Linked DNA regions of Drosophila melanogaster. The protein of the gene in region 1 interacts with the protein of each later gene in a pairwise test. Each region holds a gene or a part of one and is shown on either strand. Other genes may lie near its edges.

The links.
Region 2: the proteins of CG10104 (region 1) and CG42369 interact in a two-hybrid assay, tested with the Drosophila melanogaster proteins (one large-scale study listed by BioGRID).

The regions. Positions count from the first base shown.
Region 1 is NT_033778.4:14,389,123-14,392,999, forward strand, and holds CG10104 (uncharacterized protein), read left to right. Parts: upstream 1-1,573; 5' UTR 1,574-1,677; coding exon 1,678-2,892; 3' UTR 2,893-3,087; downstream 3,088-3,877.
Region 2 is NT_033779.5:6,395,078-6,398,985, reverse strand, and holds CG42369 (uncharacterized protein), read left to right. Parts: upstream 1-1,736; 5' UTR 1,737-1,892; coding exon 1,893-3,098; 3' UTR 3,099-3,133; downstream 3,134-3,908.

The DNA.
Region 1 (3,877 bases):
ATGGACATTCGAGGAACTCTATCTCTTTCATATTATCCAGCAGGGAGCAGTTTTCCCCTCTGTTTCGCTCGGGTTTTACCGTTTTTCCATTCAAACCTAATTTATAAGCATCAAAGAATACAAAATGTGCTGCCTGCAATTTCCGCTTTCCAATTTGAGACAGAGTTTACCTTTTTGCCTTGCGGTGGACACAGGTCGAGGAAGGCAAAAAAAAAAAAAAAAAAAAGCCCGAAAAATAAGGAAACCGACAAACTTTTCGTTTCTTTTCGCAAAAATCAACAAGTGTTGCCACACACACAAGTTTTCTTTTGACTCCTGACACTCGGTGACAGCTTTTCAAGGACTTCCTGTCACCGACATGAATTTTGACTTTAACTCTGGCCAACTGACGGATTTTTTTGACAGCTACCCGGATTCACAAGCGCAAACTTTGCCCGTGTCCCTTAACTTTAATTGTGTTTGCCTAATTCAATGAGGGCCTGCTTTGCCTAATGGCACATAATGCAATTTCAATTCACCCGATAATGTTATTTGCCCAGGGCCAGAAAGTCGCCTTCAATTAAACGGTGCGAGCTCACACTTGTACTTCTGCCAATCCTTTTTAGGCCAGGTCAAAGGCCTCGGTCGGCGAGGAAAATGCACTAATTAAGTGTACCGCCAAGCCCTCAGCGACTTTCTGCTGAAAGTAATAATGCCAAGGAGCCGGAGCCCCGGGAATTGTCATATTCCCCGGCCCATTAGCACAGGTGTGGCCTGCCATTGACAGCTGGCTTTCAGGGCGAGAAGGTCGTCCGAAGAGGTTTTCGGGATTTGTGTCCTTCTCTCCTTCTTTGCTGAAGGCCTTTGTTATTGTCGCATTATCCTGACACTTTAATTGGGGATCATCGAGACGTATGATGGGTACGCCAAAGGCCCTTGCAGTTTGCTTTAAAACAACTTCAATAAACGATATGAACATTTTGATAGACATTCCGTATCCAAGCAATTGAGCACACATTTACGCAAATGGCAGTGCACAAATGAAAGTGCAATCAAACAGCTCCCCAGAATGGCAGCAAGTACAATTAGAAGACCCTGTCAACGGTGCACACACTCATATTTTTTTTTCAGTCGAGTACACACATCGATTCAACATATACTCAACACCTACAGACGCTTTTCACATTGCATTGAAAAGGTTTTCCTCGTCGTCTTTTCCAACAGCAACAAAAACACATTCGATCACAGCTCGATTCCAAACTGCTGCCAACACACAGACGTTTCACATTTCCAATTACATTTTCATGGAAATTTTTATGCTGCCGGGCGGTTATTTCAATGAATTGGGTATATCGAGTTTTTTTCGAGAAAAATTAAACATATTTTAAATGCTCAAGCCGTGCCGTTATATTTCGATTGCTTAAAGTGCTTTTCTGTTTCGCAACAATCTTCAGATTTATTATTTATATTTATAAATTTGAGCTCCTTCAAAGGTTTTTCTCCAAGGGTAACCGTATGTCTCATCCTTAAGGAATGTACTTCATATCTGTAATCGAAGCGTTGGCATACTGAATTGAAATATTTAAACACAATTTATTACACAACAAAGAAAGCGGCAAGTTGCCTTTCCTTTTTGCTTTGATATTTTATTGCCTGGTTTTCAACAGTACTTGGTTATCGACTGCTTTTGATAGCATTATGTGGCTGCTCGTTTCGCTACTTCCGGTGCTCTTCATACTTCCGGTACAGTTTCAACATCCGGTCAGTTGCAAGCTGCAGCTGTACCGCGTTCCCCTGCGCCGCTTCCCCTCCGCCCGTCATCGCTTCGAGAAGTTGGGCATCCGGATGGACCGGCTGCGTTTAAAGTACGCCGAGGAGGTCAGCCATTTCCGTGGCGAGTGGAACTCGGCGGTGAAGAGCACACCACTGAGCAATTACCTAGACGCCCAGTACTTTGGCCCCATCACCATTGGTACGCCGCCGCAGACATTCAAGGTGATATTCGATACGGGTTCCTCGAATCTCTGGGTGCCATCCGCCACGTGTGCGTCCACAATGGTGGCCTGTCGTGTGCACAATCGCTACTTTGCCAAGCGGTCGACCAGTCACCAGGTGAGGGGAGACCACTTTGCCATCCACTATGGCAGCGGCAGTCTGTCCGGCTTCCTTTCCACCGACACCGTTCGGGTGGCTGGCCTAGAGATTCGGGATCAGACCTTCGCGGAGGCCACCGAAATGCCGGGTCCCATCTTCCTGGCAGCAAAATTCGACGGCATCTTTGGATTGGCCTATCGCAGCATCTCTATGCAGCGCATCAAGCCACCATTCTATGCGATGATGGAGCAAGGACTTCTAACGAAACCCATATTCAGTGTTTACCTTAGCAGAAATGGCGAAAAGGATGGTGGAGCCATCTTCTTTGGCGGATCCAATCCGCATTACTACACCGGCAACTTTACTTATGTCCAGGTGAGCCATCGTGCCTATTGGCAGGTGAAAATGGATTCAGCAGTTATCCGGAATCTCGAGCTATGTCAGCAGGGATGTGAAGTGATTATCGACACGGGCACCTCTTTCCTGGCATTGCCCTACGACCAGGCTATACTTATCAATGAATCCATTGGGGGAACTCCCTCCTCCTTTGGACAGTTTCTAGTTCCGTGCGACAGCGTACCAGACCTGCCCAAAATCACCTTTACCTTGGGTGGGCGTAGATTTTTCCTGGAGTCTCACGAGTATGTCTTTCGGGATATCTACCAGGATCGAAGGATCTGCTCCTCGGCGTTCATTGCCGTGGACCTGCCATCGCCCAGTGGACCGCTCTGGATTCTGGGGGATGTGTTTTTGGGCAAATACTATACTGAGTTCGACATGGAGAGGCATCGCATTGGATTCGCCGATGCCAGGAGTTGAGGCCATGTATGCTGTTTGATGTGCTTCTTGCTTTTTCAACAACTGGTTGCCATAACACGCGAATCATCGAAAAATACAAACGAAAAACGAACGTAACATTTTACTTACAAGCTGGCAAATACCCTTTATTCACGTGTTTAAAATATTGTTCATTTCGTCTATTTAGATACTTTTTAATAAACCATTTTGGAATATATTAATACCTCTTTAATGTTGGAGTATGCTAGATCGTGATTGGTCAAAGGGGCCTAACCGATACTATGAAGTATATATATATTATATAAAAGTACTCCGTATCTGATAGTCGTGGGACTTGATTGTAGCGTTCTCTCTGCTTTTAAATCGAATTTAAAATATTATGTTATTTTCGAACAAAAGAGAATTATTGGGCATCCATCTCGTTAAGTTCGATATACCCGCTGCCTCGTATTTGGCCAACCAAATGCTGTTAGCAAGCTGTTGCTTATTTTGGGCACGTGTACGTCATCGTACTTGAAGCAATGTTCAAGGGAATCCAAGGGGAAGGAAGGCAAAAATCAAAACAGAATTTTATTATTTTATTATTTTATTACCTGCTGCTGCTCCTTTTGCTGCCCGCCATGCACTAGTGCCCCTCCGAATGTTGGCTTCCACATCCGCGCCAGAATTCTGTGTGGGCGGAAGCTAATCAAAAAAATCGCTTGCAGCCAGTGCGAGTCGATAGAGGAGTGAAAAGGACGAAGAAATGGGAAATGGGGATGAGTTCCTTGGGCGCACTGAGGATGTAATTGATTCCCGGGAAAAACAATGTCTTCTTTTGTCTCTCTCAATTCCCTCGACTGCGGCGCTTCTGGCGGTTTTTCTACGCCGCTCTTAACTTAAATTGCTGGCTTAAAAAAAAAATTAAATAAATAGCTTTAAGTTTACGAGTGAAGCGTTGCGTTTGTATTCAAATTCCCAGCCGCGGTCGCGATATCCTTCCGGATACTTTTGAGTTTACCCACCA
Region 2 (3,908 bases), on another chromosome or scaffold:
TTCGCATTTGTATTTACTTTGGGAATTCTGATCCCAAGTAATGTAGCTGAAAGAACTTAAAATTCTCTTATACAGATGACTGTCCAACATCTTTATTGGATATAGATGTGTGCATACCCAATGCCTCTAGGAGTACAGGGTATTTATTCATATAAAAGAGCACAACTTAGAATGTAACTTAGAATGATGCTCGGTCAACGCGCGGGATGAGCGATAAAATCAAAGCACAGTATAACCAAAACAATTGTTCAAAAAGAAGAGCAATTTTTTCGGACAATGAAGAAAGCGCATAAGAAGTGTTTTGAAAAAAACAAAAGTTTAACTCCTTTAAAATCATTAAAACGCTTTTAGCGCTTTTCACGCCCCTGGCCAGCGAGAATTTCCACCCGTCTGGCAAAGCGCTGGAAAGTTTAGTTTCGGCTTTGTTACCGAAAAAACAGAAAGACAAAAAAAAAAAAAAGGAAAACTGTCGGCGATGATGGAAAAAGTGGCAAAGTTTTTCTCAAAGGCATCACTGGCGAAGTATAAGAATAAAATGACCGACCATGAGTGACCGGAGCAAAGCTCTATGGGCTAGTAGATACCCTAACCAGATGACTTTCTTGCGAATAGATTTTGTCACTTAAGTGCCAGCAATGTGGAGGGCAGCCGTTCCTCCAGCCATGACTCCTTGGCTTTCGTCCTCCAGAAATCCTTTGTCCTTGGCCACAGTTTGAATCAAAGTGTCTTGGTCGTTCGCCATTGAAGCGAATGCGTAGCCCATGCCAATTGTGCAATTGTTGGAAAATTTCTTCTTCAGGTTTTTGGTATCTTTTATTTTTTCTTACATTTTTTTTTTTCCTAAAAACTTTATCGGTGTGCCTTTCATTTTTTCTTAACCATTTTTCCCCATTTTTACGCTCTTTGCCAAACCGTTTCCATAGTTTTTTTTTGCGTTTTGGGTTTCGTCTTAAAAGGTGTTGGCCATTATGCGGTTGCAGATACCCTTTGATCGAATATTAAAGGCTAATGCACAGAAATGTTCGAACGAAATCGAAATCAAGTGTTTTCGCTAAAAGTTGGCAAAGGGGAAGTGGCATGAGTTCAATCAATTTGACGAACTTCAATCAAGCTGCGCCATAGAATGAAGAACGACGAGCATCGCTGATTTGGAATCCATGTGGATTCATGCCACATCCCATTTGGGATTCCGCTGAAGTTCTGTCGTCAAATGGCAGCAGTCTGCAGTCTGCAACTTTAAGCTAACTTGTGATAGGTATCCCGCACACGCGCTCAGTTTGAGTTCGGTCAACAATTGCCCGCACAGACAAATTGGGAAGGAGCGCTGACTATTTGATACATTGTAGGGACCAATGTCCTGGCCATTTGCAGTTGCACGGGCACCAGGTTACAGCGAATCGATTCCCTCATTCAATCCTATCCCGATTCACCAGTCAGTTGTTGCCACTAATGCCCTTTCGACGAACAATAGTTGTCGAAATGGGGAAAGGATAAAAATGCATTACCTTCAAATAAAAAGTTATGTATTAAATTGTGCTGGTTTCTGACAGAGGAATTGTAATCAGCGCTGAACTCTTTCCTTTCTTATTTTCGCTGTCCTTAATTTGCGTTCGATTATTAGCAGAAAATAAAATATAATATAATTTGCACGAATTGGATTACCCATTATTTCTCTCAGTGCCAGCTCCGTAGCGATAAGGCTGTCGAACTGAGCGCAGTTCGCTTTCGCACTGGTTAATCGTCAGTGGTCGGCTTGGCATATCAGACGAACTAACCGCATCACCGACTTGACTACTGACCCCAATCTAAGCCCCTTCGTCTAATCAGCCAACTGGCGGCGACAACAACGCAGTTTCTGCAATCAAAATCAGTTGGAGCCAGCTCCCTCTAAGATGATGATCGAGTGGTGGCTGCCATGGGTGTGCCTCTTGCCGCTCATGCAGGCGGATCCTGTTGCTCCCCAGCTGGATCTTGGTGTGAAGGACTTCCAGCTGGAGCTTCTGCGCGAGTTAAGCGACCTGGTGCAACAGCGGATTGAACCGAGTCTCAACGACTACCTGGATCGTCTAGGACGCATTCCTCGGAATGCCAACTACACCGAAGAGATGAGTGCAGCTCGCGCAACACCAAAGCTTCAATTGAAGGTGACGCTCATCAAGCAGCTGCTCGACGTGCGTCCGCACCTGGACACGGATATGGAGTACACCATTGTGCTGCGCAACCTGGTCTTTCTGAACCGAGTCAGATCCACGCTGAGGGCTGCCGAGGAGACTAGCACACAAGAGATCCGAATGATGCGCATGCACCGCCTCTGCCAGCAACTTGACCGACCGGCTCCTCATCGCGGCAGTCGCCTGATCAACGAACAGACAGTCGGGGCGGCATTGGGGCAACTCAATCTGACCAAAAAGGAGGTGAACTCCACCGGCTTGGATCTCAATGAGTTCGGGGCGCAGCTGTACGAGCGGGTCAAGTTATCCGGCGCCGAAATCATCGACAACTACCTGCACATACTGCGTTCCCTGCTGCAGGACATCATCGACGGTGACCATGCTGATCTGGCCGGGAGCAGTGCCAAGCTGGACAAGATGCAGCAGCAGCTGGACGTCATGCTTGCCACGGAGGACTTCTTCGAGAAACGTCAACGGGTGTATGCGTACCTGGAGCACCACTTGCGCACCGATTACGAGGAGATGCGGGACACATCGAGCAGCGAGCACATCACCGAACATCTTCTCGCCCAGCTGAAGACCAAGGGACTGGACCTGTTCGTCATCTTTCTTTTTAGCAATTTTGAATTCCTAGACCTGGTGCACGAGCACTGGGAGCAGCTGTTGCCACAGTCACCCAGTTTGCTATACGACGAGACCGCACGCCAATTGTACGATCTGCAGCAGCTGTATCAGGTCTTCAAGCTGGACACGGAGTGCGAGGCCAAGTACACGGCCTACTCGGACGCACTGCGTCGCTTGCACGAGCGGACCGTGGAGCAGGGTCAGCGCAACCGGCACATCTTTGAGCTGCTCCACAACGCGGCACAAAGCGTCGGCACGGTTACCTTCAACATGATCCGGGCCAAGTGCAATGAGCTAAGATGAGATGACATTTATAATAAAACCAAACTTTGCTACTTAAATGATGAGAGTTGCGTGCTTTTGGCTATATAGTTCCACATACTAATATCTTATATTGAAGACATCGCCTGTGCTGCAATTGACAGCGTTTGAAAGGACAAGTTTCACAACATAATTACATTTTGCCAGTTCCTGCGGTTGTCGCCTGCTTTTAATATCCGTCTGCCGCATCTGATTTCGCTTAAGTATCGTCCAGGAACACCTTTCCACATCTTCGGGGTGAGCGGACAGCAACTTCCTTTTGCCGCATTATGCAGATGTTGCCGTTAGTGTTGCTTCTCCTGGTGTTGCCACTGCTCGTTGTTTATCAGATGCTGCCAGGGCTCTAAGGATTCAACTCTTGCTCCTGCTTCAGCTCCAGCTGAAGCTGCAGCATCATGGCTCCCTTGTGGTACCGATGGGCCTTCAGACTAATGACTGCTGCTGCCGCTGTCGTTGGCCAAAGCCAGCTAATTAATTGTCGTCGTTGCAGGTGATTAGAACTTAAATGAGTTGCCGGTGCAGCAGAAGTTTCCGTGGCACAGTTAGCCGTCAAAAAAAGGACGACATGGTGGTATAGCCATCCCGAATAGCAGACATGGTGGTTGCTATGTTATGCAGCTGTTCTGTGGTCATACGATAGCTTTTATATGACAAAATCAAGTGCGAAAGTTGATATTCTTTTATTATTTAGAACACAGTGTCAAGTTCAATTTGCTTCTGTAAAAGGCAAAAAATTATCTGATATATGTTGTTACAAAAGGCAGACTTTTGCATGTGTGAAAAAAGAATTCT